Neodiprion lecontei: one gene and its partner. The protein of the gene in region 2 purifies or fractionates together with the protein of the main gene of each other region. This does not show direct contact. Links are inferred from orthologs where the notes say so. Each region holds a gene or a part of one and is shown on either strand. Other genes may lie near its edges.

The links.
Region 1: the proteins of E3 ubiquitin-protein ligase Nedd-4 (region 2) and lipopolysaccharide-induced tumor necrosis factor-alpha factor homolog purify together in Homo sapiens (affinity purification with western blotting; 3 studies listed by BioGRID and IntAct, counting the BioPlex papers as one, with this or other methods). This does not show direct contact. The link is inferred for Neodiprion lecontei from reciprocal best matches to the Homo sapiens genes NEDD4L and LITAF.

What each region holds. Positions count from the first base shown.
Region 1 is NC_060260.1:37,748,956-37,766,825, reverse strand, and holds lipopolysaccharide-induced tumor necrosis factor-alpha factor homolog, read right to left. Parts: upstream 9,719-17,870; 5' UTR 9,581-9,718; exon of another isoform or gene 9,528-9,580; intron 7,607-9,527; 5' UTR 7,604-7,606; coding exon 7,441-7,603; intron 7,104-7,440; coding exon 6,803-7,103; intron 6,642-6,802; coding exon 6,539-6,641; 3' UTR 4,596-6,538; downstream 1-4,595. Other genes in the region: muskelin, read right to left, coding at 1-33, 157-399, 489-680, 802-1,005, 1,165-1,342, 1,444-1,724, 1,794-2,029, 2,127-2,319 and 5 more; kinesin-like protein costa, read left to right, coding at 10,611-13,142.
Region 2 is NC_060266.1:25,979,248-25,994,550, forward strand, and holds E3 ubiquitin-protein ligase Nedd-4, read left to right. Parts: upstream 1-5,979; coding exon 5,980-6,156; exon of another isoform or gene 6,157-6,201; intron 6,202-6,335; exon of another isoform or gene 6,336-6,891; intron 6,892-7,025; exon of another isoform or gene 7,026-7,377; coding exon of another isoform or gene 7,378-7,428; intron 7,429-7,441; exon of another isoform or gene 7,442-7,703; intron 7,704-7,802; coding exon 7,803-8,003; intron 8,004-8,105; coding exon 8,106-8,266; intron 8,267-8,478; coding exon 8,479-8,662; intron 8,663-8,854; coding exon 8,855-8,973; intron 8,974-9,088; coding exon 9,089-9,224; intron 9,225-9,453; coding exon 9,454-9,603; intron 9,604-9,866; coding exon 9,867-9,917; intron 9,918-10,009; coding exon 10,010-10,331; intron 10,332-10,420; coding exon 10,421-10,479; intron 10,480-10,598; coding exon 10,599-10,664; intron 10,665-10,760; coding exon 10,761-10,990; intron 10,991-11,052; coding exon 11,053-11,174; intron 11,175-11,264; coding exon 11,265-11,904; intron 11,905-11,997; coding exon 11,998-12,100; 3' UTR 12,101-14,305; downstream 14,306-15,303. Other genes in the region: enhancer of mRNA-decapping protein 3, read left to right, coding at 1,451-1,608, 1,694-1,944, 2,063-2,208, 2,314-2,574, 2,657-3,250. UniProt on the Homo sapiens protein: E3 ubiquitin-protein ligase that mediates the polyubiquitination of lysine and cysteine residues on target proteins and is thereby implicated in the regulation of various signaling pathways including autophagy, innate immunity or DNA repair.

The DNA of each region.
Region 1 (17,870 bases), on a different chromosome or scaffold from region 2:
CTCTCGGAAAAGAACTGAAGCCAGTAACTGAAACTACGATACAACAAATATCACTACTATATTAAGCTTAATATTTTGCAAAATAGAAAAAAAAAACGAGATAGCCGATAGTTGACGTTTTTAACGTCTAAATTATGTCTAAAACACGATTTATACCTCTTTGGTTTGCTCCGGATCGGCATGATCGATGATTTCGTATACTTGTGTCTGCAGGTACTCGAGAGCCTCGATGCTATTTTTCATAGCCAATTCTTCGAATTTGTGCTTCCTTATTATCAGCTTGCATTTCCTCAAAATCTGCTCATGAGAGGGTCTACAGAGTTCCAGCTGCCAAAAATCATCCAGCCTCAATTTTGGCAGACAAGAGCGCCCCGGATTTCCTCCAAATAAATAATGGACCTGCGGCATATGAAACGTAATGAAATAGTAACGGTCAAAGCTGAAAGCAATCAGAGTTCACCTTGACTATTTTAATCAGCGTGGCTCACCTTTTGAATATGATCGTACACAAGCTGGTGGGCAAATCTAGGACAAGGCTCGTAATCCTGCATACTATTCCAATACTTGTCACCAACGTTTTCATTACGATATATGCAAGACCATCGGTTCTCTTTAATATTGTAGACCCAAAGAGAATTTTGAACATTGTCGTCTCTCTTCTCTTTGTCTTTGCTCAGACCCTGTAAGTAAGAGTCATCTGTGAGCGCTGAGGTTTTATGTTGATTCTTAATATTAAGTAATCACCAATAGCTGAAACCAATTGATGAGCCATAAAGAAAAAGAACATTGTTACGTATTTACAGATAAAACGTAAATCTCGCCAAGTTCAGGATCAATAGTAGCCCTCTGGGTAAAACCAGCCGCGGGAACATGATTTGAATCCCGGTTTCCCAAGTCACTGAGATTGATGTGTTCCAAAGTCTCGGTGTCTACTTCGAAGGTAAAAAAATCGTTTAGATACTCTTTACTCCTCTGTCCCGCAAATATGTATAGTTTTCTGAATTCCTAGAAATTTTTTTACATTATTATAAATGATAGAGCCACTTATTACCAATTACATTGTTTGACAAGTAGCTACGAGTTTATTTATTTTGGGCATATGAATTAGATGCGTATTATCGAAGATTAAGGAGCACAACATCCAACGAACAAGAAGTGACATACCGGATGAAATAGCATGGAATGTCCAACTCTGGACCTAATTGTTGGTATATTAGGCGGACTGGGTCTCGCAATATCACAAGCGAGCCTACTCCAGGTCCCAGTTGGCACATGGTACGAATACAATCCAGAAAATACTGGTTCTGTCACGTTTGGTGTAACTCCATGGTTATCCTCAATCCTAAAGGAAGCAGAGTGATAAGATAGATTGAAAAATTGATTGGAATTTATTTAATCTGAGCCAAAATTTTCATTTTCACTTTCAATATAAGTTTTACTCACACATGCGATGGCACAAGAACACGTCCACCGAAAATATAGATAGTTCTCTTAGCGACGTCCATTGACATTTGGTGGTCGAAAATCAATTGAGGACCACCGACGGCTCCGGTATCTTCAGATATCTGTGTCCATTTATCAGACTCAATATCATAAACGTAAAAATCGCTCTTCAGATTTTCTGGCGAGCGATATTGAGTGTCTAAATACCGTCCCAGAGTGAACAACTGACGCCTTTCTGGGTCCAAACACATTTTGTGACAAGACCGGGCGGTAGGACCACCCTGAAATATAGCTTATGTTAGTTGCAGATCCTACAACCTGATATCGCAAGACCGTGATCATTGACTAACCACTGCTTCTGTGTCTTTGCAAATAAGATGCCACTTGTCAGTTGATACATTATAGGTCCAAAGGTCAGCCAAATCCTGATTTCCATCCCAGCCACCGAACAGATACAACATTTCCGCCGATGGGTCCAAAACCATTTGATGCCCACCCCTCATTCCAGGTTTTGGATCCTTGGAAAATATTTTTGTCCATATAGCTCGGTAAGCCTGAGCATTTATATACTCATTGAAAAGTCCCACTGAATCGAAAAATGACCAAGTTTTCATGGATGAAGGATGAAATTTTTTAATTAAATATTGCTTTTTGAATAACCTTGATAAATACCAGAAACTTACTGTTTACAGCGTTGCTAATGAATCTTTCTGCCTGGCAGTGATCCCCCTTGGTTACCAATATATCATACAGTGTTGACAGTCTGGAATCCTCAAGACTCACCCCAGTAACTCTTTGAAGAGTATTGACAATTTCCGGATATTCCAAGCGGCGAAAATGTTTCATACACAGTCGTAACACCTCTTTCTGACGGTACTACAATAATTAGTTACAAATAAATTAAAGCAACAAGAAGCCAGATGAGGGTAAACAATGTGAATCTTTGACAATAATTTTTAAAATGAGCAAATTTTAGAAAATTACTATGCTTAATCAATACTCCGTTATAGTTAAAGGACATCTACGGTTAAGGTTTCATAGTCACCTTGTTTAGTGGAATAAAAACGTTGGTATTATGCTGCTGTCTAACCTGCTATTACTGGAAAGTTGTACTTTAACTTAGGTACCTAAATTAGCTGAATGCATCTGACAAAATGTTCTAGGATGTCTTAAAAAAGTGAAAAGCGAAATACATACAGAGTTAAAACATTCAATGCTGCTTTTGACAAGTTTCTGGTCATCGACTCCCGCGAGGTGAACATGCCAGATAGAAAAGTTAAAACTGGGGCCCCAGGATTGCAGGGGAAGAATTTTCAGGTACTTAATCGGAAAATAGTTCTCGTCATTCCCGACCACATGTTTGAGGTCGAATGTTTCTGGTGTAGAGTCATTTTTCAAACCACTGCAAGGAAAACGAGACGTGAAAGACGAGTTTAGGTAAAACAGAATCGTTTGTTGTCTAATTGAAATATGCTTGAAGGAAGCATCTCACCTTTCTAGTAGCTCCATCATATTCTCCGGTTCAAGTCCACCAAAAACTTTGAATTTCTTGATGTTACAAACATGAGTTTTTTCATATTTACCAAACGTGATAGTTTTGACGATGGACTGATGTTGGAGTTTGAGAATGAGAAACTGCAACAGGAGAAGAGTAAAGAAATTCGTGTTACAAAGAGCTAAGGGTGTAGGTTTAAATCAAGCTAAGATTGCATAATAGAGAAAGTAAATCATCGTTATCACACTGCACGTAATACCTGAGGATGATTGTCATTGTCAGAGGACCAGCGAGAGGATTGATCCGACGGTACGTCTACGAGAATATTCCTGAAAATATGGGAAATAAGGTCAATGAACCGTTTATTCACCCTGCACGCGCCGCTCGGCCTTGAGACCGTGAATAGCCTCGTTTAAGTGAAACCGAACGCGTTGTCCTTGACAGAAAATGCTTTCGTTTGAGGTTAAGAACGCGTAGTAAAATTTCTACGTGTCGTGGGCAGATGCCAGCTCGATGACACACGACGATTCTATCTGATTCAAAGGAGTCGATAATTTAAATACTTACTCAGGTACATAGGTCGACGAGTAGCTGGAGCATTTGAAAATTCTATACTCCAAAACCTTGTGAAAATCTTCACTCTCACACGCCGCCATATTGCTGCACGAGTGACATAACCTTTTCGAAGTTCCGAAATTTATACATAAGTCAGATATCTATGAATGTATTTATTACATCCGCATGTGTAGCGCGGCACTACGGCGATCACCGATGAAACGTTTTAAATATTTTTGAATCACTCAATGATTTGGCCGCAATCAGCAACTGATAGTCGAAAATTTGTTTCTATTCTAAGGTCAAAATTAAATGCGTCGCAACGGATCGTTATTGACTGCTTTCATTTCTCTGTGTCAGCTCTGAATTTTCGTACCTACTGACACTGTTTCGTGACCCCATTTTGCGTATTCGTATCAAGTTTCATTAGTAAATTCGAAAGCAAATGCGAAACATGTAAGAATAAAAAAAAAAACAAGAAATAAAACTGGATGAGTTTGAAATATAGAAATAATTTGGAGGGAATGATTTAGTCAAGACATTGCGACTGAAGAATTAATATTATATTAAATAATATATTCATTTATTTAACAAGATGACGATTATGTACACCTACCGATTATACACAAAAATCAGGTATTTCCAATACCCCATTGGCCGTGTACAGACAATAAATATTGTTATTACAGATATTCCCCAACTATTACGATCGTGTAATTTGTTCATTTATTCCCTTCTCTTTCGTATCGCAATCATCAGACAATATCATCGATTTACTAGACTTTCAGTCAGTCTAGGTCATATCTTCTTATCATTAATTGTATATAAAATACGTTTTCATCATTTGGTACACCCTTTTCTTAGCACGTCAATTCTGTCCTGAATTGAGGACCAAACCGTTAATGCTTAATTGAAACGTGAACAGAATGATTAGCGCAATAATTGTGTCACAGTTTTAGTTAGAGCTTACATGTGGGTAGTAAACAATATGAATAATAATATTTTATTAATCTCTCATGGTCGATAATAAATGTTGGCGTGATTATTATTACTAAACTGCAAGTAATTTCAACGCACTATCAAAGGTTGGTCTAACTTATACTTTACAGTATTATTCGTATGTCTGATTTTTTTTTTTTTTATCTTAACGAAGTAAATTTTCACCTATTGATGCAGACTTATATATCTAGCATTGAACACTTAGTTACATATCTCGTTTGAAGTAGAAAAATAAAAACTTACACAATTGATCAAGGAAGTCGAAAATCATGAATGGAAAACTGATGATAACGTAGATACAATGGCTTGTTGTTTAATAAAAATTAAACTCAGACCAAATTGGGTAGTTTTTTTTTTCTTTATCTTCAAATTATATATGTATACATACGTACTTACTTTCTAATTTCAAGCAATTTAGATATTCGTATCCAATTTAATAATTTGAAATATTTTTTGTCAAACTTTTTGAATACAAACAATGAAAAAGGCATAATATAAAAATATAAAACTTATGTTTAATAAAGGTTTCTTTGAAAAATAACAGCAGGGTACACAGACCACGTCGTACCTTCCTCTCTAAATATTCAATTTCTCACAGCCCTTTGAATAATTTTCGACTAAACACGCATGTGATTTTCACACTTCTATCTGACTCGTTAACCCTCCGCCGGTCATGTGTTATTTTACTGATGTCGTCAGTCAATATCAACGATTTCGTCACACGAGTTCTTTTTCCCTTCACTTAGAGATTTTCAAAAGTTTGCAAAAGATTCAGGTAATCAGTTTCAGGTGCCTACTTGATATTCCAATAGTTTACATTACGAAATTTTCAAATAGTTAATGAATAGAAATTGTTAAACAATGAAAAATTCCCGAGACAGCGATAAGTGAGAAGGTCAGGATGGACGATATCGTCTATGTTTGCTGGCGGAGGCTTAATTTGAGGTGGAAATATTTCCGTGAGCTGAACAGATGCTGTCAAGAGATAAATATTTTTTTGTAATCAGATCTTCGCGTAACGTATCACGTATGGTGCGACAATTTGCAAGTACGTCAACAAACACCATATTATCAACCAACATCGTAATACAGGTATATTATTTACCAATCTCTTATTTTCAAAAAAGCCTGTAAATGTTTCACAACCAAGTATCTAGTGCAAAACCTATGAACTAGCAGAGCAAAGCAAAAGTCGTACATTTTCAATGGTTACTTTCTTTATATTTACCTAAGCATGAATTGTTCGGTCTTAACGAAAATACGGTGTTCTTCGAATACTAATACTTTTTTGATATATATATATATATATATATATATATATATATATGATTATCTTGTTTTATAATATTGTTTTACTATACTATATTTATGTGCAATATTATAAAACAAGATAATCACATTTACTTGACATATGAAAAAAAAAAGTAAGAATTATAAAGAATGGAAGTAGTATCATATGAGTTTGATTTTATGCACATAGTGAAACGTAATGAGCTACCAGAATGCAAAAATTCTGTGTTCCTGTACAGTGAACCACCACTCTTTTCAGTACGACTACATCAAGAAACCTAATGTCCAGTAATAATAGTGAGTATAGGGCATATGAGATGTCAATAACACTCTTTTCTCTTGACTCTCAATTCTTAGCGACGAGGATTTATGTATACAAGGAAAGCTCAGATCAAATCAATCAACCTGTTAATATTCCCCATGGCAATGAAGTAAGAATGTTTCAGAATCAACGGAATGTGTTTCGCATAAACTGAACGTTTTTCAAGAATTCTACAAACATTCATTGAAAGGGTAAGCAATTGTAGAAATAATTGGGATCATAAAATTATACGTTTCATCTATCTCTCATAGAATTTGTATAAAAAAAAAAAATATTTGCGTCTGTGAGTGAATGTTTAATATATACGAATATGTAAAGAAGAGAACATTTTCGTCCTAGTCAAAAACGACCAAGGTTTCACCTCGATCTGTAACTGTAGAATAATTACTCCATTACTTCAAGGTTAAACTTGACTATTGTGACAATCACAAAATTCAAGCCTTATACGTTCCGATGTAAGCCTTACAATTGGGACACGAATGGTGAACATTCACAAAGGCATTACTGCAATATGGCAACCATGAACACAAGCAACACCTGAAATGTAACAAATCAGCTTTGGTAAATAAATCATTGCATCAAACTGACGAAAATTCATAAAGCGAGCTCAGTTTTGAGGGGCAGCATTAAACGTGAATAATATACAGGATATGGTCAGCAACTGTAACTCTTACACAGTTAAAATGTCCAAAACTTACCCGAGTAAACATAAAATTATGCAACAAATGTGAGCGTTCGCTTGAGTTTCCGATACCGTGGTTGTTTTTATATCCGCCCGACAATTAGGACACACCATTTTTAGTGGGTTTGGTCCAACTGCATAAGCAACTGTTTGTTGCACAACTTGTATTTGAGCAGGTGTCGCGTAAGACTGTGGAGCTGTGTTTTGCTGTTGAGGATAGGGAGCGGCAGGTCGTGGCTGAAATGATTGAGGTTGGCTTTGTGTCTCTGGCGTTGGCATTGGCATCGGCATTGGCATGGCTGCTGGCGGAGGATTATCTGCAAAAAAACAATGTAGCAGTGCATCATTGATGTTGAACATTTTTTAGCTTCATCGTTGTTCAGTACAAGTGTTGTGAGAATTTTTCTTATGCCAAAAGTTCTAATGCTGTCTATCGATATAAACGTACATCATTCACAATCATATATCATTCATAGTCTTTTTCTCTTTTTAATTCAGGCATTACTTAAGGTATGTTTATTAAAATTTTCGTATTAGATATGTCATCAAATTAAAAACTCGTACTATTCAAGTATGGAACAAGTTTCACTAGCTTGAAAAGTGAAATAAGCTAAATTGAGAAGACTGAAACTATTGTATAATGTGGAAACATACAAGATCCAGGCATTGGCATCGCTGTGTCGACTGTTGGGTACGGAGCAGAAGAAGGTGGAGGATAAAGGCGAGGACCTGCCGCAGTATTGGCAACAGCTTCGTCATACGAGGGCGGAGCAGTTGGTGGTGGAAATCCACTTCCCATTAGGTGGTTCTTCTCCATTTTCTGTAAACAAGGTAGTGGTTATCTTTTTGACTGCAGTTGCATACCATATAATTTTTGTAATGTTATATAATTTTATGCATGTATTGTTTTTTTTTTCTGCCTTTATACTATGAGCATATTAGATAGTTATGCATGTCGGTAATGATCTAAGAATCTCAATTATTGGCCGTTGTCATCACTATTCCTTTCAAATCTAGAATGAAAGAATAAGTTTTGAAATCTCAATTTTACAAATTTAGAATCAATTTAAACGTTTGTTACTTCAATTTTATGGGGTTTGAAACAGGTGTTTCTACTTTGTATGTATTTAAACGGGTATTCAGGTGTGGTGGAAGTCAATTAACGCATGTTTAGGAAAGAATTTTAATTGCACCATTAGAATTGTCCGAAATTTAATAAACTATACTATATCAAACAAAAAAAAGCCAACTTTTTGAAAGTGATTCTAAAATGGAAAAATAATGATTTGCTTCTTGATGTTTTGTAACGTTAACATTACTTACTTCAACCTCATATATTCAGCAGTCATTCACAAACTGCCCTTAATTTAAATTCGTTTCTTGATACGTAACAAAATTCATTATTACTGTTAAGTTTATAGTTTGCTTATATGGTTCGTACATAACACACTATTTGTCATGAATATTCATGAATGAGCCAGTGTGAATAGAAAGTCGTTAGAAATTGTGAGGAAAGAATTCTGTGTATACAAATACTTATACACTAAAAAGTTGAAGAAGTGCTTTCGGTTTGCTTTCGTAATGCAATCTTCACCTTCAAACCTTCAATTTGAGTCAAAGATTACACAGTATTACTAAGATACCATTTTTTTACGCCTATTGAGAACAAGGTTGAAATGAAAAAAAATAATCACTATATGTAGTTTTTAAATGTAATTTATGCTCTCTGCATTTCAAGCAATGTAAAAATAGCAAATCATGATTAATTTTAATAATACTTATTCGTCAGCAAAGGCGTATATTTCAAAGAATTTTTTTCTTATTAAAAATATCTTTTCCTTGAATATGATTAAATTCAGCATGAGTCAACAAGGAACATATTGTAAAATATGAAAATTCTGTAGATAAAATTATCTTCTTTGTGTTTCGGCCATTGAATTTTGAAATGAGATCGTATAAGTGACGGTCTGTTTGATTAGTAAGTATAAAAATGCCTACGAATGTGGAAATTACGGCACTACCGAATCACCTGATCGTTATTATACCAGGAACACGTTGCATCAGATTAATGTGGTTTAACCATAGATATAACAGTAGAGCTTCGCGTACTCTCGATGCTCTCCCGATCGCATCTATGAGAAACATGCAGCGAAACAACGTTCTGGCTCCATGAAAATTGCGTGAGCACGCAGCTAATAATGTCACTGATGCGTGCCTGTAAAATATGCAAATATGCACACATCACTGTTCTCTATAGTATTCACACATCCTTCTTGTTGCATGTGCATCCTTCCACCTGAGCTGTGCAGCAGATCGTAAACGACAATGCTTTATACGTACCGATAAATTTTACAATCCGGTGTTTTTAAGGTCCTACGTATTCGATGAAGATAAAATAACGATCAGGTTATTCTTGCCATTAGTTTGTTAGGGATGAAATATTGATCACAAAATTGTGAGAACTATACATAATCAGAAAGAAAAATAAAAAATCAATCGAATTGTCGATTTGATTTATCGTTATTTTTGATTTACACATGTGTCAAATATTTTTAAAACATGTTGTTATTCTCTTTGGTTTTTCCCGACTTTAGCCAGGTTTGCAACTAGCTCGAGCTATTTTGCAGGTGATATTTGGATCTGAAGAATCATTTTTTCGTCGCGAGATCAAAATACATAATTTCGATTGCGAGAGTTCGTTGTGATCGAGTTTAGGCATACTTGCGTTTCATATTACTTACGTATAGATTGCGTATTGCTTGTACTCTCAACTGTGTAGTATGTTGTGACTTACGTAAATCCGCAGCTACGTTTGTCAATCAGAAATAAAATCACTCCGATTCTACTCGATGGGAAATTTCGTTAGGTCATCGCTTTAACCACAGAGCATTCACGGATCTCTATACACACACGTGCACAGCTCACATTCGCAATTACAGTTAACACATCTCTCGCAACGTCCATGCGACAACTTCGCACAACTTCAGTCGACACTCGGTGACTCACGCAGCGGCACGCGGTCCATTTGTTGCCAGCTTCAGCCCTTTCGACACATCTTTACAACGATTCTGATTGGTTGATGACTGACTGTCTGCGGCGCTACCAACCCTACGCAATTCAGAAATTAGACGGGATAGAACAGCTCTCTCTGTGATAGAACGAGAATCACCAAGTGTACCAACAAGATGAAAACGTAATATACGGCAATATACGGTACACCTATACACGAAAAAACAGGCAGGCTCTGCCTGTAGTAAATATTATTGATTTACCCGTGGATTTACTTCGTCATTCCGACATATAGCGAATAGATTTTTATGACTCTCTTTAATCACGACAACCAGATTTTGATCTTGCAATTCTATTTTCCACGGTAAATTTAACCCCCAACGTGGCTCGGGTTTACGATCTGCGGTTTCCATCGAAAATGATTTACTTCATACCAGTGCAAACTCGACCGTGTCCAGTAAACGTGCGTTGAATTTGAAAAACCCACAGAGATATTTCTAAACCGTTAAATCAGACACATGGGTATCGCTAAACCTGTAAGTTTTTCTTCATTTTCATTATATCAGTGTCTCAGATTAATCATTAGAAGAACGTTCCAACACAGCAAACGTTTTGTATTGCTATAATTAATGAGTTTGTTACTTGAAATTTTACCCGTTTTTACACGCCAAGTATGCAATATCGTTGACACGGCTACAATGGATTCAATATTTATTTTTCGTTTTAATGTTATAGGAATCTCTTAAACGGGGTCACGAACGTTGATTGTAAAGTTCAGTCCATTCTGACCTTACCAACCCCAGAAGCTGTTCGATATGATGCATTACGGTCCATGGATTCATCATCAGGGAATCCTGGACAATCGGCAATGCTACAATCAGTACATCGAGGAAGTACAGGCTTTCAGACATCCCAGGGAACAGCAGGACGAGGAGCTCAAGCACACGGTCGAGGAGATTCAGGAAACACCGGACATCGAGGTTGGGACATCCGGAGAGCGAAGTTCCAGTGCAGACTTATTCAGGCTCGAATTTGCGGCTACTCAATGGTCCAAGTTGGTCTCAAACGCGGAAGGTTTGTTCAATAAACTTGTGACCAGCAACATATTGCCCCATACCGAACAGGATCAGATAGAGCAATGGCTCTGCATGAAGCAGGAGTACGAGGAATGCATAGCCAGCGACGACACGGCGAGTTTACAGGGGTTCGCAGATGTTACCAGAAGGTCTTTGGAGAGAATAGAAGAAGTGACTGAAACCGATGAAAAAACAGACGAGTCTGCGACGTGTGGAGAGTTCAGGAACGAGTCTGACAGTAGCTGCAATTCCGAGACGGAGGATTTGTCCGAAGAGGAAAGCGACATAAGTTCTGAGAATCCGGATTTTCTGGACAAGCTTGACGAGCTGATGAATAAGTTTAAAAACGATACGGACAATGTCATTGATTCGAAAAAAGATGAGTTCAGAAAAATGGATATTATCATTGATACCTCTGCCGCAGAATCTCTGAATAACGGTAACGACTATTTGCCAATAGTTAAGCCAACTCCTATCAGAAATCCTAGTTCCAGGAGAAACTCAATGCTCCCGGGTTCAGATATGTGCAATGGAGTACTGGCATTCAACGGTGGATACAAACAGTGTCAAGATACTAATTTTAACCACCAATTGTCAGCACTCATTGCTGCTAATACGCTGGAAAATCGAGAAGTTGATTTTAGACTTGACAACAACGTTAACGTCGTTAAAATACAGAAAGAAACACATTCTCCGGACTTGTTGATCGAGACGATTAAAAATTCTGATCAAGATCCAGAGCCGATCAAAGTGTTGAAAAATTTGACCCTCACAAACGAGGCGAAGCAAACGCAGGTGAAAAAAATTCAGTCGGATTTGGAAGGGGCGCATAAACGCATAGAAGAACTTCAGAATACGATACAAATAAAGGAACAGTTCATAGCTGATATGATAAAGAATTCCGAAGCTAGAGCAAGCGCCAAACAAAAGTTTCAGAGAAAACGAAGCAAGCTTGAAGAGGAGTATTATAACACTAGGACGCAACTTGCTCAAGCAGAAAATGCCTCGTTGTACAAAGATACCGAGGATAAATCAGCGCATAAGAAGGAAATTGAATTATACAAACACATGGCAATTCACTATGAGAAACGATTGATGGATATTGAGATGATAAAACAGATTGCTGGCGATTCTGCAAAGAAAGTGTTGGAGCTTGAGAGTTCGTTAAATTCGTCTAAGAAGCAAATGGAGAAGTTGAAGAGACAGCTGAAAAAAGAAGACGAGCACAAAAAGCAGCTGGAAAATGAGCTAGTCCAGGATCAGAGAAAGATAAGAGAATTGGAGGAGAAGTACAACTTAACAGCTTCAAAATTAAAAGAAATACAGTCCGAAAGTGAAGATGACAGAAAGAATTCAAAGTCGCAAAACGATTGTTCCGATAAGAAAAAAAACCTGCTTGAAGTGAGCGCAAGAATTTCACATCTGGACCATGTTTTGAAAGAGAAATCAATGGATCTGGAGAGAACGGCTGATACGGATGAGAAAGAAGCCCTGAGGCACGAGATAAGAAATCTTAGGAGGACCAGGGACTGTCTAGTGGATGAGAAGTGCGATCTGGATGAAAAGTTACAGAAAGAAAAAACACTGACGATAGTAGAGGAGAGAAAACTGCTTGAATGTGGGGAAACGATAGAGGCTATTGACGCAATGATTGAGCATAAAAACGAAATGATATGCGGCAGGAAGTGTTTCGACGAGAATCAAGTGAAGAGGGAAAAAGGTGAGCAAATGCTGATGGAAAGATTGATGAAGCTGTCGGACGGTGAGATGAGAACTCTGTTTTACAAATACTTTCTCAAAGTGATCGACTTGAAAGAAAGTTCAAAGAATTTGGAGATCCAGGCCGCGGAGCTAGAGGCTCACGCAGAAACCCAAGAGTGGAGAATCCAGACACTGACTAACGCCCTGAAACAAACGAAGCTGGAAGCGGAGAGAAGGATCGTTTTGATGCAAAGAGAACACGAAGAAAAGCTGCATCTGATGTTCCGGCATTTCGCCGAAGAAACTAGCAGCTCAGGTCATGACAGGCTCGACAAGGACTCAGAGTTGGCTAGATGTAAGAGGGAGAACAGAAGCTTGAGACGGAGGCTTGCCGACGTCGAGGGTCTTCTAAAAGGATCTACTCATCCGCGAGCCGCTAGTCCTGCCAAAATACCTCAGCAAGGTTTGAAGCAGATAGCCCCCAGCACACAGCCTACGACTAAAGTCACCAGGCAGAGAAATAAGCTTATCATACAGAAGACAATCGATACCGATAAGAGGCACAAATAAAAGACTGCCAAAATCATTTGAGAAAATAAACGAACAAACATCTGAATCAAAAACTAAGGCTACAATTTAGCAAACAGGTATTATAGGTACAGTTAATACAACATATGTGATACTCATAGTAATCGGTTTAGATTTAATTATTTTTCTTTCCTCGTTTTTCTATTATGTTTTTATGAACAAGGAAAAAGATTTCGCGCTGTTTTTATTTTTCCCTTACAATATTAACGGGAATCAATTTTGCTCAAAAAGTTTGATAATTTGCAGTACTCTGAGTATAGCAAGTAAAGTAAAGCATAGAAATTATCACGATTTAAAGTAAGCGAATTAGAATTAATTTTGTATAATGCAGCTGTGAAACAAATGTAAGTGTTCTAATTGTAGCGGCCTAGTATCAAACTAAGTGAATAATCGTTTATAAGTTGACAATTTGAATGTGAAGAAATGGTATTCTTTGGCTTTGAAAACTCTTGCAATATGCTTTCACAATTTGGTATAATACCATTGACAGTCCGATCCAAAAAATAGGAAGTTTTTATTCTGTTTATTTAATTATTTGATACAAATAATGAAAATTCGCCTCACATCTATTACACAACTAATTAATACTAATCGTAAAATTGAAAATTGCATTACTATCAAATACTATTGTAATAATTAAGATTGAAAGTACGTACTACAGTAAGTGTAGTAAACTGCCTGAATGTTGTATAACAAAATTTAGAACTTGAAAAATTTTAGTCTACATATTATACATAATAAACGTTGCAGAAGGCAATCAATAATCACAACATAGGATAATAGTTTGCGACACGTACAAGTAATAAAACGTGCATATATTATGTCGTTTGACATATTGATTATCATTATTAACGTAGAATTTTTTATGAAATTCTCTGTACAAAAATCGTTTAATTTGATCGTTTATCCGGTTGAAATACGTTGTTAATCCAATGCAATATTAATTGTTATTCAATTCAAATTAGAACCCGGTTAAAACAAAAAAAAAATTTAGTATATAATTCTCAATACCCTTAGTGAGTTTAAAATATGATCTAAGATATATTTTCGAAAAATATTTATAATGTACATTTATACGAAATGTAATCGCCACTCCACGAGCAGCATATCCACGACACCTGAACCAATGTATTTAACTTATTTATTGTAATTTTTTTTGTAAATAAATTTATATTAATTTAATCTTTAACGTTTGTATACCATAAACAGAAGAAGAAACTTGTAACGATAATCGTGCACATTTAACAATAAGTCTGGTACATTTTCTACCTTGTTATCGACGGTAACACGCTTTAAACTGTTACCTACAGTTGATCGTGATCTAAGCCCTTTTTACCGATGGCAAAAATGTCACACAGATTCTTGTGTGACTTGTAAAGCCCGTCGATTGGTGGAGGCTGTTGTGTAAATAGAACCCACAATGCATCAGTTATCAAATTCAAATTTTCAGTCACCGTCTCAATCATCATTTGGTGAGTTTAAATCATTTTTGCTACGATATTAGGCTTAGGTCACACGAAATATGGCGACGAATGAATGTAGGACAATTTTTCTGCAGCTTATTAATTCCTATCATCATAATAATATGCTTTTAATAAAAAAAGCATCGAGTCATCGCGCGATATAATTCGAAATGAGCACTATTATTTGACTGGTGAATCAAATCCATCATCCGTGGACTATGTGGATCAATGTATTCACGGATATCGGATGGCTTCGACTTGAACATGTCGCTTATGCGATCGATTATACGAATATATAGAAGATGAACGCTGCACAATATAATGCGGAATAATGTATGGGCTGCAGATTTTCCACAGCGTCAATAATTCGAGTTCATTCTAGCGCGTCGAGTAAAGACAGCTAGTTCGCCTGCATAAGAATTCTGTGATTTGACAGTAAGATTTGAGGGAAGTAGCGCGATGAAACAGTTGCGTAGATTATTCAGCAATCGATTCGCCTGAACGACGAAGTTCGCTGCATATTACAACGCGTCGATCATCACCGTGCGTTGCACAACAAGTTCATCCCAGGCCGGAGTGGTCTTATACAGATGTGCCAGAAATTTTTTAACCTTAAACTGTACACCATGACTATCTGAAGGTAATATAACGGAAATCCAAGATAGTTGTATAAACCGCTGCGCAGTTGGAGTGTAAGGATTGATGCAGTGTAGCCAATTTGTGGAATAATCAAACTAACGTATGACGAAATCGTCGAATGAATTTTTCGATTTTAATCGCATAACTGAATCCGATGTTAATAAAACGATAATTAACGATCCCGCCAAATTTGCGCCTCGGTCTACACGTTTAATGGATATTATAATCCTACTCCGGATATCACATATCATACGCACTGTGTGTTATAGAGGACCATTAGACGAAGGCCTGATATCAGATCGTAAATAATCCGATCTTAAACGGTTCATTTTAATCGCGTGTCTCTCCATTCGAGGGAATACTAGAACCTGCACCACCTAATTATATAATACTATAAGGCTAACCGAGAGTTTCAAGTCGAGTTTCGATACTAGCTTAAGATATTAACGACACTGTTAATCCAACTTTATTACACAGACTCCTTCGGAATACGCTGCAGTCAATATTGCTACGACGTCTCGAAACGCGTGCAGAACACATACATAGATTTATCGAATCGTCATTGTAGAGCACTAAAATTTGTGCAACGAAGCGTGGATTCCTTTAGGTGAACTCATAAATTTTAGAAACGTGCACGAGAGATTGAAAAAGTAAAAAATGTGCAGCAATTAACAGTTAATTGTCAATGCGATACTTTCCGGTTATCGATTATTAAACTCTTTGTTTCAAATTTATTCATGCTCCTACAGTGAGAGAAATTTTTGTTCCGGTTACCGGTCAATCCTTGACTATTTTAATTTTTTACCACAACCGAAAAATATAGTTCTAGGTACAAATTGAAAATTAGTTTTCTAGCTGTTAGGTACCGGAAGATCTAGTATCCGTTACTGTTGTTTCTCATTACGATCACTGTTGCGATATCTTCTTGTCACTGTTGCAAAAATTTAATACTTGTGACTTGTTTAACTAAAAAAGTCGAGTAAACCTCAGAAAATGATTTTGCGTTGCAATAACCAAAAAAGGATCGACGATAGCGTAAAATGGTTAGGCGTACCTCGTTTTTCGTAATCCGAACAATATTCAGGTTTTTTAACGGTACCTGTTTTACTGAATTTTTCTAGTTACTGTAACAAATTAAATTTTTCTCAGTGTATACATCAAACCAAGAACATTCAGTGCGAGTGACCGTAATAAACAAGAATAAATAAAATTTTCTGTTCACAGGCTCGAAAATTCATTTTCATTTTATACCAAAAACCTTAACACTCGTATTCGGTTATGGTAAAAAATGAAAATAATGAAGGACACTATTCTCACCGCAACAAGAAATTTCTCTCGACGTAACGAACGGGGTTTCTTTCGCTTCTTATTTCCTTACGAGAAAAAGTCGCGGCAGTTATAAAGCGGTGAATGTTGATTACGTCCATTTTCCACGATCTTAAATGTCCGCTTAAGAGTTCCACAATTCCCATTCCGAACTTCCGCGGTATTTTCACGATCCGTGCAATTCTAGGCGGTCAGATGCCGCGGGTAAAGCCTCTTACTTTTTTTCACCCAGGGATACCTTTAGATTTATGGTTACACATGCTCATTATATTGTTCATTAATGTCTTCTCTACCCTGACGTTCGTCACCAGCTTTTATTTTTTGTCAGAAACTCTACACAGATGAACCTATGTAACACCATATCCCTCTTTTAACCGCCCCGCGGTTCAACCTCGGTCGTAATCCGTAATATAAGGCGATGAGATAATAGCGCTCGGCCTCTATTTCCAGAACGAGGTGCTGCAAGAATAAAATGAACCGGTTTGTTTTTTATTTTCTTCTTCTCGAATAAAAGTTGTCGCACCTCTTTCCCTATACTTTCTTAATCCTTCGCCTTAAGCCCCTCTAGATTCTCGATAAATACTGCCGAAATTCGAAACTTCGAAGCTCTTCAGCAGCAGGAGCAAAAATCCCATTATACGGTGGCAAAATTTTTACGTAGACGGTTAATCGTTGCCGGACATAAATTTTCGTTTATTGAACTCTCCGAAGTCCGGGGGGCAATCACCTGTCTAAAAAAAACTTCATACACGAGTTATATATATATATGTATAGGTATGTATATTATAAAAATAAGTTAAAGATGAGGGAAAAAGAAGAACCGTAAAACTGAAACTTTGGTTTCACAAGTTATGGTTGTGTTTTTAAACATTTTATTTCACGTCATTCGTAAAATGCAAAAGCCGCTATAATTTAGCCTTTATTAATTACACGCATCCTAAATCGAGGAGGCTGACTTTCGTGAATTACGACGCAACACGCGCTGAACGGGTAAACCAATAATAACCGAATTTTTCCCCACATGTACCGCTTGCTTTCTGTATATCATATTATACCTATCCTTCATTTTCGAATATTAAAATATGCTCGGCAAATTATTGCCATTTCACATCTATTCGAATATAATTATACTGTGTTTTTAAGTGATGTATATGGAAATTTTGAAATATTATACCTAACTTAAATACAAACTGTCAGCGAGCTGTGATTCTAATATCTCGCGAATGGGTATTTGGTACATAAACTTTCACGTCTGTATAAGTAACGCGCATTTTCTGTTAAG
Region 2 (15,303 bases):
ATGCATGCGTACTAAACGGGTTATGTTGTATAATCCAATACAAAGATTGAAAAAATTTGATATGAAATATGATGCGATTCTGCAAATGGCACATATTTCTGTCTGCCTTTTACGAAAGTGCATGCAACGTACCTACACTGTTACTTATTCGTCCATTTACATACCTACCATCCAATGCCGACTTTTGCCGTCTTCGATAAGGCCATGTCGGAATCCGTGATGATCCCTGAATGAAACAGCACCCTGCTGGCATGGCGCATGCATGCAGCGCATGCGATAGGAATGGGGGATATACATCGATGTTTCGACTATCGATGTTTTTTTACGGGAGCATCGACGTTTTTGATCGGTGTTTTTTAACGTCGATACATCGATAGTCGATGGAAAATACTGAATTGTCGACGTCGTCAAGTCGGGAATAAATTAAATTTGTGAGCAAACAATTCTCGGTAACTTATTTATAAACACGGAACACACATTACTAAGTTTTATAATAAGTCTGTGTTCTCTACCAAATGTTTCACTATTAATCTGTATATTTAATTATTTTACTTTTGCATACTTAATTTAATTTATATTGAATTCTCATACTTAATACTTATTTTTAATTATAATGAAAGTTAAAAATTTTCGCGTTCATTTTCCTTTTTACCATTGTAGCTAGAATCATTTAAAATATTCGCGCTTGTTTTCACCATCGACGTGTTAACAATCCATGTTTCGATGTTTTCAGAAGAACATCGCTAGTTCGATGATAAAGAATTCAAACACGATGCCGGTGTTTATTTTCTACTAAGATCGCCCATCCCGGTATGCGATACGCGAGACAATGTCGTTCATCCGAACTATCCTATTCAACGAATGTGCAAGGAGGGCGTGCATCGTGCCCCGTGCGATGAAATACGACGCGCCGAGCCGTCGAGTGGCGTCCTCTGGACCGCGTAAGATGTGCAGTAGAGCAGTTCAGTCGTAAGGTAAATGCAAAGAGAGGATAAATGGTAATGTAATAAACGTGCTCTAACCTACCTCTACATCACATCAGCTCGGCGCGGCTAGACTTTGCTTACGTATTGGTGGATATCCTGTCGCTAGAAAAGCAGAGAACCATTGTTTTCTTCTCCAGGTCGAAAGGGTGGCTGGGTATTCCAGCACTTGGAAGCCGAAAACGTCTATTTCTAGTCCGAAGCATAATATATCAATAGGTATATCCACCCTGCATAGATGTTCGTACATATTATATTAGCATTTACCGGGTTACAGTTGAATACAAAGTCTGCTAAAGTTCGTTTTTTGCTCCTCATAGGGGGTTGCGAAACCCGTTATGGTATTTTCAATGTATTTCAAGCATTGAATCATTTTGAAACAGTTTCATACCTGATATTTACTTGACTTCCCGTACAGACACTGCTGCAACACTCTTCATCTTCCTTTTCAATTTCAGAACAATACAATGTCCACGCAATTCCTAGGGTGTACCGTGTCGGTCAAGTGCGATGAGTCACTTGGCACTTACCAAGGCCAAATTGTCGACCTTAACGGCCAAACCGTCACTTTGACAAAGGCTTTTCGAAACGGGGTACCTTACCCCTCTCCGCAAGTTGTTCTGTCGTAAGTTTTAGATCATATCGGTGATGATTAGGTGTTAACGACAATATCTTTTACATTATTTAATTCTAATTTTATTCCCTTATAGTGCCAAGGACATACTTCATATAGAAATAATCTCAACAGAGGAAGCTGAGGATTGCCGTGATGAAGTTCAGACTTCGAGCAAAGTCACGGTGAGGCGACCCATTGCAAAACGAGCTGGTAGATCCGTTTCTGAATGCATTCCACCTTTGGTACTTCCTAATTCCGATATTCAACAGCAATCTAATGCGCGGAAACCGCTTGATTCTATGCAGTCACACCCAGAGCCTGCTGCTAATGGAAAAATATATCTAGGTAGGATTTCCTGCACTTTCGGTAGTAAAATTTTAACGTTTGTCAGTTGATATATCGTAGTGTAAAAGATTGTGGGATATACTTAAGTAAAATTACAATTCCGAACTGTTATTTCCAGGCGAGATAAGCACAAAAAACCAGAAAAGGAGTTCGCAACGACAAAGATGGCAGGAGAAAGATGAACAAGCCTTTGGAACACCCATAGATCAGTCGATGGAGCAGGACTTTGATTTTGAGAAAAATTTAGCACTGTTCAATAAGGAGGTAATTATGGCATTTCATAAATCTGATGTCTGTACTTTTCATACCTTTTCCCACACCACTTACAGCGCTATACAACAATTAATTAGTTAAATAAAACTATTACAGGCTGTGTGGCAAGAAATAAATTCCTTGAAGCCAGACATCGTTCGTCAGTCTGAAAACACCAGAGGAAGTGTACCAAAATATCGTCACGATGAAAACGTAATAGAATCCGAACCTACAGCATTCAGACAAATTGCAGTGCCGTCTGCTGGTATCCGGGAATATGTAACTGACGATGGATTAGTAATTCCTAGCATAACGGTCGATCTCCATCGTCAATTAATCGGTGCTGCTGATAGACTAGGTATTAGCTGGGATCGCAGGGTAAGTAGAGAAACTTGACAGGCCTAAAAACCACTTTCATCCAAACTATTCCGTTCTTTATTGTTCTCTGCAAAATTTTTAGGTCGAGTTACTGGGTCGTGCAGGAGCGGAAATAATTCTACAGCTATTGGGTGGTGGGCATAGACTAAACCCGAACAATGCGCACCAATGGCCAACGGTAGTCGCCCTGTGTGGACCCCACAGGTCAGGAGCTGCGGGTGTCAATTGCGCTCGCCAATTGTCAAGTCACGGGGTGAAGACTGTCGTGTACGTTGAAAATTCGGAAGACGTCTTCCTGCTGCAGGAATTGTCGTTGTACAAGCTATCGGGAAACAGGGTTGAAACTCGGTACAAGAATCTTCCCGCAGTAGCTGATCTCATTCTCCTTGCTCTTGGCGAGGAAGGCTCGCCAAGGACAGTTGCTCCCGTTGCAACATGGGCGAACAGCAATAGAGCACCAGTTCTTGCAATTGAACCCCCGTCAGCTGGGACTCCAGGAATTATGACAAAATTCAGTCTCCTTGGTGGATTGCCCCTGTCCCATAGCGCGGATAACGGAAGATTGTATCTTTGCAATTTGGCCCTACCTGCTAAAGTATTTTCGGACGTTGGTATCACTTACAGATCACCGTTCGGACCGAAATTCGTTATTCCACTTCATTCCAACAGCTCCTAGCAGATTCCTATGACGTTCATCACTTCCGTGAAGGTACCTTAGAATCGGCTTCTCTAAATCTGCCATTATGCGAACTGAAATCAACGACCCACGGATTATTAATTACTCGAACAAAATAATTAATTATCCAGTTTTTATCATCAAACTAGTTTAATATGTATCTAAATATCAACGCCCGCGATTGTCGCGTGTTCCGTACGCGTGTTTGTTATTTACGCGGTGTGTTAATTAAATCGACATTGGACTACTGTCCGTTTCTTAATTTTGTCATACGCTCTTTTTTAGGAGCGAATTTGTCTCACGTGACTTTTGTAATTACGAGTACAGTGGAACCTCGATTAATTGGGCTGCTCAAGACCGAAGAATCCACGAATAAGTGAAATCACGGTTAATCCGAATTATTAGTAATTTTCGATCGATTCAATAGTGACTGCCGAGCATGTGATGCAGTCTGTGAACTAAGGGTATTTTCACAAGTCCAATCCCTTTCCAAGACAACCGCTAATACCCGGTTACTCACGCGAAGCTCGGAGGCGCTCCAGAGGGTCACGGTTAATTCGCTCCCCGGTTAAACCAATCCCAGTTAATCGGGGTTCTACTGTATACCGTTAGCTAGTATCCATAACTATTAGCTTGTTTGTATTATTTTTTTTTTTTTTTTAATTTTGATAGCATCTAATCGTGGGCCACAGCTGTTATAGTTTCAGCGACCATTGCTGATTAGTTTGTCGAAGTTGTTAGAAACTAATAACAGGGTGGAAAAAACCTGTACGTTGCAAAATGAAATTTATATATTGTTTGGCTCACGCCTTGCAGCGTCAAGAAATGTGCAAATTGTTATTCGTTCCGTGCTCCTATTTAAAAAAATTATAAACTTGAATCACGTCCAGTTCATATATATATATATATATGGATTGAAACTTGCTTAAATTGTAATTATCATATTAATTAATTTATTTATATTTTATACATAGTTGTATATCGAGAGAGAGGTGCTGGGTAAGTACCGAGTGTTGATGATTCTGTCAACGGTCTACCATAAGTTGATGATTGTGTACTATTGTATAGCCATATTATTACGACGATGACTATTCTTATTATTAACATATATACATGATGTAAAATTGTACAATAGAAGATCAAGAATGCAGCAGTAATTGTATCTTATAATCTATTAACACCTTACAGTTTCGCTGTATCAATTTACTGTCATATGCATAATAACGTTCCGCGGTTGCAGCCGGCCAATAATAATCGGCATTTTCGTTTACGCGCAGGAAGTCGGCGGCCCGCGACGCAGCGTGAATGCGTAAATGAAACTACTATAGAATAAATTACTGCATATATCAATTACGTAGTTCATAATTTTCTCTACTTGGGCCTAGGTCGATTCGCGTCTTGTCGCAGTCAGGCGTGACCTGGAAAGCACGGTACGTTACGTAGTCGCGCGTGTACGTGGAAAACAAAGAGAGAACAAGGGGGAAAAAAAGGAAGAAAAAAAAATTCGTGAATTTGTCATTAATTATCATAATACTTCTGTGTTAAGAAAATCCTCAATACCGTCTCGACGCGGAGTGTATTAACGCTTACGCTCACGCGCATATAACGTATCATGTATGTTGTATACACTTATCATTACTCGCAATACGCGCCCGTGTAATATCTGTGCATATCTCTTGACTCTGTCGTCCATGAGTCGCGCACGACGGTGTTATCAGACGTTGATTTAAAGCAGCTCTGATGCTGTCTCATTCTTATCTATCTTCGAAAGTTTTGGTACTTTCGGGAATTACGTTTTCCGCGACAATTCATTTAATTTCACGTTTAACGTTACGGATCGGAATACTTGCCTTAAATTTTTGCACCTCGTTGCCCTGGCGAAATAGTTTGAAACTTAAACTCAAGGAGGAACAAGTATATCGCGTGCGCATTGCGTAGGTGTTGTGTGTGTGCGAAGAATAATGCGCTGATTAAGTTGAGATCGTGTGGGGTACGGCTAAACGAACAAAGAACGAGTAATTTCTTTCTCGTTAATTTTCTCTATGTAACATCGCGATTAAACCGCGTGTGCTAGCTGATAACGATCAACAAGGTGATCGCTTGATCGTTTTGATAAACAGCACCACTTGCTTTTGCTTCTTTATTTTGCGGGGCGAGCTTGGCTAATATTGGCAGAACGCGTTGTCTGTATGCATATATATGTATAGCCATTTCTCACAGTTGCTGCTTGTGTGTGGTGTGTGTCAAAACGAATAAAGAAACTAGTCTAAAAGTAACGCCGACGAGTGGCTCTTAACGAAGGTGCGGGAAGAAAAGTATTTGTATATACCTATAATGTAAAAATATGTAAAAATCGTCAAATTTTGTTGTTCGATATACGTAATTGTGCGCGCTAATTAACTTTAATCGGCTACATCCACCACCGCTGTGATCCGGGACCCCGATCCTCCCAACGCAACGTATAACGCCCGTAATTCTCGCCTCTATGCATCTCTATTCGGCACGTACAACGTACGGTGTACGTATAATAATAAAATACGTTGCAGGAGCGTGTCTAATACTTCGAGAGAAGAAAGAAAATAGAGGAAACCGAACACCAATTGCATACAAAGTTTAAGTCGAGTTATGAACGGAAAAGCTGCAGCCACCAGCCTGGGCACCTAGTCGATCCATAGATCATTTCTGTCCTTCGACGCGTTGCGATTCGGTTTGCGGATACCTTCTCGAAGATGCCGGCTACCTTGACGTACCCGATCTACGCCGGGATCGAACCACCGCCTCCTAGAAGACGAGCAAACACATGGACCAGCACATGGGTAGGACGACGTCGATCCTCGGCGAGCGCGCAGGAAACTCTCGCATCCCGAGCTGGAAGGCTCTCCCTTTCCGTCCAGCCCACAACCACGGTGAGGAAACTCTCTTTTTCTTCTTCCCTCCCTTGTCGCTACGTCCTGTAAGGATACGTGTCCCAATAAGGAAACTCCGTAGCATCATATATAACCTACATTGTATTACATTTGTATGCGTGGTGGGACAACATGCCTCTGTATATGTATACATACATATTTAAATGCTATATACCTACGTGAGCCAGATTATAAATATACGCAAAGTGAGAATTCTATGAGTCAATGGTGTTTTTCACTGGCGATTCGCTTGTTCGTACGTAAATGATACGAATCGCACATTGTACTGTGATCTTCGACATTTAAAACCGCAACCCGTGTCTCGCTTCGTATGAAATAATAAAAGTAACTGAATTTATTGGATGTATATGTATGTATTATGTACACATATAGCTGTTCCGGTTGGTTATACCATTCGATTTGTCGTATGCCAATTCGCTCGACCAACCAACTTTACCGTAAATCACGTGATTTCACTGATATCACTACAATTGAGACTGGGTGCGGCGTTAAGGGAATATCAAACTTTTTTTTACTAAACGTTTTAGAAAAATTATGCGACTGCATTTTTTTTTTTCAAACCATTTTTGACACCCATACTTATATTTTCTAACTTGAGGTACACAGACACTAGGGGAAAATATTAGTCGATGTTATTAGTTTACGGTGCTTCTTCTGCGTTTTGATAAGATTAAAGGTAATTCCCGCGGATGACCTCGAATGTTGTATTGTACGTACAAACACACGTGCAGCGACACTCACGGATGGTAATCACGGTCACCGAAGGCGCAAGTGTACGTATTTGAGTGTACGTGTACCTGCTGCGCACTGTAGACGGGCCAAAATCTGTTGCGCATGATATGAAAGTGCGTTAAAAAGAAATGGGAAAATTTCTGGTATACGCCAGATTGTCGATAATATGAAAATTGATGAATGAGAATTGAGCGGCAATGGGAATCATCGAAGTACCGTGTGCACGACCATTCGTAAGTTTCGCGGGGGATCAGAAAGGCGGATCATGACGGAACAAAGCTTCCGTGTTACTTTGATTATCCGAAGTTGGCAGCACTTGAAACGGCCGTCTGAACGGCAACTTAGAAAGTGGGGGTAATACGAGAACAGACTTCTTGATGGCAGATAATAAATTATAGTAATTCGTAATAAATAGAAAACGATCGTTTTTCTGGCGATTCGCGAACGTTTTTATTCCACGTGTTGTTAATGGCAGAGGAACATGTTTACGGATACAATCCGACGACCGGCGTCGACGGGGTGAGTCCTACACGATATTTGACAGTTCCCCTGACAAGTGGTCTAGGTTGGGTTCTTTCACGATCTTCGAAATCCGAGGTGTCCAGGGCTTTCAGGGTCTACCTGCCGTCGCACGAAATATCGTCGGAAAATATCCTTGTCGGCTCAATCGCGTCAAACGTTACGCTCCAGAGAGTGGGTCGGTGGTTTCCGGGAACTTGTGATATTTCCCTTTTCTCTTTCTCTTTCTCTCTATCGCCCTCTGTTTCTCTCTACACTGGTCTCTTCCAATTATTGTATGTATCCTTGTCGCGTCACCCTCCTCTAATATCTACCGATAATTCAGTCGATTCTAACGCAGCAAGGTCGTCCTGTTATTATCTTTCTGTACCTAGGACGAGGAGGCAACGAATAAGCTGAGGCTCAAGGTTATAGCTGGTCATCAACTGGCCAAAAAGGACATATTCGGTGCGAGCGATCCTTACGTCCGAGTTGATTTGAACAAGATCAATGGAGATGGGAACGTCAACTCAGTGCTCACCAAGACTAAGAAAAAGACCTTGAACCCAGTTTGGGAGGAAGAATTCATATTCAGGGTGAGTTTGCTGTAACCACCTTCTGTTGTGTCTGATAAATTATAATCTAACGTCAAATTGATAATGCAATGACGATTAATTGTGCATCTTGCTGTTGCAAAGGTCAAACCAGCCGAGCACAAACTCATTCTCCAAGTATTTGACGAAAACAGATTGACCAGAGATGATTTTCTCGGAATGGTTGAGCTGACTTTAATCAATCTACCCAAGGAACAAGAAGGACGCGTCATTCCTGCCAAGCAATATATACTTAGACCACGTAGGTGAGTAGCTGGCTGTAGATGTTTGTTTCGGTACGATTATCTCACATCAATCATATTATCTAATGGTAGATGCAAATTATATTCAACATCCACATGAACCACCGTTTTCAGAGTATGATACATATTATAATATGTTATCCATGTTGTTTCTTGATCTTTTACCAAGAATTGTGCGATGATAAAAATAATTAATGATCGACGACGTGGCTTAGCAATCATTCCAGTCAACGGTCGCGCGTTAAAGGCACGCTGGAAGTGTACCACGCATACATTTCGGACTCAACAGGGGAGAGCAGCAATGGCGAAGGTGAAACTGCGCCTGACTCCGGTGGTTGGGAACTGTTGGACCAGCCCGTTTCAACGTCTAATGATAGTCCTGTAGAACAAGCTGCTCCGGTTGGTTTACCTAATTTTTTCTACAAAGTACAGTCTTTCAGTTACTCTACAAGTAAATGAACACAAAATTTTGAATTGAGAACAGCGATCGAATATAAGATCGACCTGGGCACGGGAAATTCTTTAACAATGAGAAATAACTGTGATATTTCAATGCTCATATTCTTAGACTTCATCAATTTTGATTTACAGACAATAATGGTCAATGGGCCTCTGCCGCCTGGATGGGAAGAAAGACAGGACGCGAACGGGAGAACGTACTATGTCAATCACATAGCTAGATTCACGCAATGGGAACGGCCGACAGTCCTGTAAGTGAAGTTCTGTATGAATTCATCAACTCTTTACAAACCCCTCATACATGTCATCGTAAACTTCTTCTGTAACTGCCGTTCTTACAGACAATCGATTATGGTTATTTTCCAGAAATCAAGCACCAACGGGTGGTGTAACACAGGAGCAACGAAATCTAGATACCGCAGCAACCGAGTTCCAGAGACGCTTTCACATCAGTGTTGATGATGCAGAAAATAGGCATAACCGAAGCTCTGGCCTTCATCAGGTGAGAACACAAAGTGCAACTCACCTTTTTCTTTTGCCAATAATTTTGCCTGATAGAATTAGCAACTTGCTATACAGTATAACAACCTCGTTGTCATCCTACCTTACAATGGTTTGTTATTAACATTAGTACTTCTAAAATTATAAAAATAAAGTTCAAATAAAACTGTGGTGAGGGGTTGTATAAACGCAGCATGCGGTGTGTAGCAAATTGTGCATGTGTGTATAAGGATGGTGATGTCCCTCGAGAGGAGGACGAGCATGCGGAAGACAAGAATGACGAAGGTGGGGAACAAGGGGAAAGGGTGGTTGGGGATGCTTCATCGGATTCCGGTCGTTCAGTCGATCAGCACGGCTACCTGGGCGAATCTGATGATCAGGTATTCATCGTTCACTTCGAACCATATTACACATTTGCTTTCTTTGTGCAAATATCCGATTATCAGCTGCCTTCTTTCAATCACTTCTAATGCTTAACAATATCAATATATATCGCAATTTTAAATAAAAAAATTGCCAGTATATTGTGGCCTCACATCCCTGTGTATTTAAACATACATGCCGTTGTTTTTTCTGCGAGCAACGCCAGCCTTTTTTTTCTCGATGGTGGTATTTCATCATGCTCTGCAATTTTTGTTCCCAGAGTGAGGAAGCTGCTGATAGCCCGAATGGTTCCAGGCGATCCTCGGAACAGGTATACTTGTTTCTCCGTACATATGGATATCCCAATTTTCAATATATTTAACATAGGTATTCTGTATCTCTCTGTCAATTTTTTTTATCCAGATTGATGGTCCAGTAATACCAGCGGCTTCCCCGGCCACAGCTATAGCTCCACCGGCAGCGGCTGCTTCTCAGACACCGAATGGCGACGGGTTGCCTTCTGGATGGAGTATGCAATTGGCACCAAATGGTAGAATGTTTTTTATAGATCACAATGAACGAGCTACGACGTGGGTAGACCCAAGAACGGGGCGCGCCAGTCCTATGCCGAGTCACAATGCTCCGTCAGCAACACCAAGGAGTGATTTAGACCAGTTAGGACCATTGCCCGAAGGATGGGAGGAAAGAGTGCATACGGATGGTCGCATATTCTTCATTGATCACAGTGAGCCGTTTTACTCAAATTGCCGATAGCTGGATAACCTTTGAGCAAGATGATAATTATGTACACTGATGTAAATTACTTTGTTTCAGATACAAGAACCACTCAATGGGAGGATCCGCGAATGTCTAATCCTCAGATAGCTGGACCTGTAAGTTATCATTTATTTCTATGACGCTGAAGCTTATCTTATCTGTTTTATTCCGATTTGATTGTAATAATCGGGCAAGTATAGAAACTAATCTCGCGAACATTATACCTGAATTACAGGCAGTTCCGTACTCCAGGGACTACAAGCGTAAATACGAGTACCTGAAGTCACAGCTGAGAAAACCAGTGAGTGCATCAAAAATTACTTGGTTCATTCTAAATTGATGAATTGTTTTTAGTTTTGGACAATCTCGATGTAACTTTGGACTTGCTTGTTCATAGAACAACGTGCCTAATAAATTCGAGATCAAAGTGAGGAGGACGAACATCCTTGAGGACTCTTACCGCATCATTAGCTCCGTAATTAGATTAGAGATCCTGAAGACTAAGTTGTGGGTGGAATTCGAAGGCGAGGTCGGTCTGGACTATGGTGGACTTGCCCGAGAATGGTTCTTTCTACTATCGAAAGAAATGTTCAACCCTTACTATGGTCTTTTCGAATATTCCGCCATGTAAGTTATCGCGAGTTGACGCATTATCTGTCTTTTGTTAACTTGTTGATCTCTCGTTATAGGGACAATTATACTCTACAAATTAATCCGTTCTCCGGAGTTTGCAACGAGGAGCATCTTAACTATTTTAAATTCATAGGACGCGTTGCGGGGATGGCTGTTTATCACGGAAAACTTTTAGATGGTAATTATGGCAGGTCGCTACTTAATTACTCATTCAATCATTCCCAGTTTGGTAAAGCAGAAATTTTTTAACACTTACACTTCCTTCAAGCTTTCTTCATCCGACCCTTTTATAAGATGATGCTGAGCAAAACTATCGACCTTAAGGACATGGAGAGTGTCGACTCAGAATACTATAATTCCTTGCTCTGGATAAAGGAGAACGATCCAAGCGAGTTGGAACTTACTTTTTGCGTGGACGAGGAAAGCTTTGGTCACACGTCTCAACGAGAGTTAAAACCAAACGGCGCAAACATACCGTTGACTGACGAGAACAAAGATGAGTACATAAGTTCGGTTATACAATGGAGGTTCGTGTCCCGAGTCCAGGAACAGATGAATTCCTTTCTCGAGGGATTCAACGCACTTGTTCCGTTGACACTCGTTAAAATATTCGACGAACACGAACTGGAGCTCCTTATGTGCGGTATACAGCACATCGACGTTAAGGACTGGAAACAGAATACGCTTTACAAAGGCGATTATCACGCTAATCATATAACCGTGCAGTGGTTTTGGCGGGTGGTTCTATCATTCAGCAACGAAATGCGCGCCAGACTTCTACAGTTTGTCACGGGAACGTCGCGTGTTCCTATGAATGGATTTAAGGAACTTTACGGCAGTAATGGCCCCCAGTTGTTCACCATAGAAAAATGGGGGACCCCTGAAAACTATCCGAGAGCTCACACGTGGTAAGATGGTCGGCTTACGCCCACTATCTCGAATATTTATATCTGTTTTTCAGATATGTTTTAATTCGTTTTTTTTTCTTTTTTCTTCTACAGCTTCAATCGGATAGATCTGCCACCGTACGAGAGTTATCAACAGCTTAGGGACAAGTTGGTGAAGGCGATCGAGGGTTCGCAAGGATTTGCTGGAGTCGATTAGCGCGGGTGTTCTCCTGCGGCGCTTAACTGCGGTTCCATCACCGATATTGACTGTACTATAGTGCGTGTATATATTATAATGTATGTGGGAATGAATGAGAGGCAGTGCACGTGTGTATGTATCTACGTTTAGTTATTATAATAATACCAATTAATATCCAAGCTATATAACTGTTAACTGTATGCGATGCCTCAGCCGTGACCCGGTTTCACCGTCACGCCATGATTGGTACAAATACCATACCAAACGTGTTGAAACCTACCGCGTAGAAATTCGACAAACTTGAAAGACAAAGTAACGTCACGCGTACGTCATCGGGCACAGTTCGAATACTTTTCTTTTCTTTTTCTTTTTATCGCTGAAAACGTTAAGTTTCAATAGTAACATTCTACTTAAAGCCTGCTACTGCTAATTGCTTTGTACTTGATCGCTGTGGCGAAAGTCGTCTGACAAAGAGAATAGCGTTTTTATAACTAAAATAAAATTCCGTTTTGAGTGTAACGAAATTACGTCATTCCACAGAGTTCACTTGTTTCTGTAGCTGTATTACGGATCTTCATTATTAGAAATCCGAATTATATGTATAGATATTCCATTACTCATTATACCCACATAGACGATACCTTTGTGGCGTATTGATGTCGAAAATTCGGCATTCAATACATTTATTTTTATTGTACGAAGAGAATGACAGAGAGAATACCATAGCGATTCTAATTCTATATGCAAGATTCTTATTAATTGGCCCACGCTCTGACAAAAAAAAGATTACACTTCAATAGAACGTTTCATATCTGGCGTGTGGGCCTTTTTTTTTCTGTTCCGCTGTCAGTCAATCTATGGTGATAGTAGTGAAACACGTTAAAAAGAAACGGAAAACCTTTCAAGTACGCGTAGCTGAAAATCAAAATGATTCCTTTGAATAACACACCAAGCCCGTTTGGGTCTAAAAATTCAGATTTACTTTTTTCATTTTTTCTAAGTAATAACAAATTAAAAATGAAAATCGAATCTATGTACCAACAAAACGTAGCCCTACCTGTATGTATTATTGTATATTACTGATCAGTGATTATATTTCCGTCCTATTCGCGACGAGTTCAACGAAAATTATGCGCAGAATGTGAGCGTCGATCTTGTCGCTTGCATGGGAGTAAAAAAAAAAAGAAAACGTTTATCAATTTTCAGAGTATACATATTATTTTTAAGAATTTGTGAAAAAAGGTCCAAGTGCCTTTAATATAATTATTCAATCAATCGATCAATCAATGGTCAACCCTGAGAAAATTAGCAACGGTTGAACGAAAAAAAAATATGTAGCCCGGACGCTTAAGATTGGCTGTTGAGCGCGTTCGTTCTCGCGTTGAGTATTTCGGGTGAGCTTTGATATATAAAATTATATTTTCTGCCTACGGAAAAGGTAAAAAGAATAAAAAAGCATTTCTGCTGAACACAATCTTTATCAAGTCATATATGAATTATAATCGTCGACGGCGAGACCCGTGAAAGATATCAACCGCGTAAACCTGTACGATATTATTCATTCGGTGCAACGAACGCTGATTCGTTCTGAACGTTTTATTTTTATTTTTATCCCTCTTTTGCATCTGAATGGCAATAGTTGGAATTGGCGCACTTTTTGCGACACGTGAGAAAAAACAGAAACGGCGATCAAAATACCATCGAATTATTGTACATATGTATATGTATGCAATGAAACGAGCGTTCGGCGTTGTATGGTACACATACCCATACTTCTAATTGAAATTATTATTATAATAATAACTATTATTGTACGATTAGTTAGGACTAGAGTTTTTTTTTTTTTTTTTTTTTTTACAGAGCACCTTCTTAAAGACGCAAGAAAAAGCAAAAAAATAAATAAAATAATATATATATATATATATATATATGTGTATATATATGTATATATATAAATAACTAATCGATTATACATGTATACATAATACAATATTATGTAGGTAAATTATTATGTTACTATTTACTGTTATTAAAATAATATGGTGACGTTTTAAGTATAGAAAACACGCGAATTGGAGCATAATTAACTTGCTATACCATAACCGACTTTAAGTTTAGATATATGTATACATATGGTATATGTATATACATACTATAAATATCGTTCTTGTATAATATTGTACGAAGGAATGAAGCATACTTGAATAAACTTTACTGAGAAGAGAAGAACGGTGTACAATGGGTACGTATCTCGCTGATTATCCACAATGTTGTTAAACGCGAGAGGATACACACTTGGTACAATTATCTAAAATCGTCCAAATTTTCTTGTTACAGATTTGAATATTGGCGCCCTGCGGCAAAGCTAGTTCACTACTTCCCGGCAAGATGGCGGCACGTTCGGTGTGCACGAAGCGCCGAGGGTATAGCGGCGATGCGCAGAATCAACTTTTAAGGGCTTTCGCCCTACGTCCGTTAGATAGCGCGGGCCCCGAGGCACATCCGCAGAATCAAAAAAGACAGCTGGGAAATGTAACATCACGCATCGATTTGGTCGGCAGCCCTTCTCGCGTCGTCTGAAAAGTTCCTCCGTTCCGTCTATCTCCTCGACCGTGGTATTTATTTTGTAATTAAATAGTGAACGATAAGCAACGGAGGAGTGGGAATTTCGAATCGTGAATAGTGAGAAGGTGATTCCAGTATCGTTGTTACTAACTCGGGGTGAAAATATAAGTGGTGCGTAAAGGTGGTCAGAGACCCGGGGGCTAAAGCGATATATTCGTTTATTGGTCATGCCGTTCCTCTCGTGACAGCAGCGGCAGCCCCTCACCCCCTACCGACCCACCACGGTTCGTCGACCATTCCGGCGACCCCCGTCCCCTCCTCGCCCTGCCTCCCTTTTCTTGCCTCTCCGCCACCCCCTCCCCGCCTGACCCCCTTGTCTTCGTCGTCGTTGGGTCGCGGTTTTCTTCCCAACCCCCGGTTTACTACGACACGATGTGATTCACGTCTTGGAATTTTTCGTCGAAGAGAACAGAAGGTCTTCGTCATTCGTGCACGGCGCTGCACGCTGTGAATAAGGGAGAGTGAGAGAAAGAGAGAGGGAGGAGCGAGAGAAAGAACGGAAGAAAGAAAAGAACGACGGAAAGAGTGGCTCGCCCTTGGATGTTTTTGTTAGGACCCTTGGATATCTCTGCTGCATTGCGGTAAGTCTGGATACT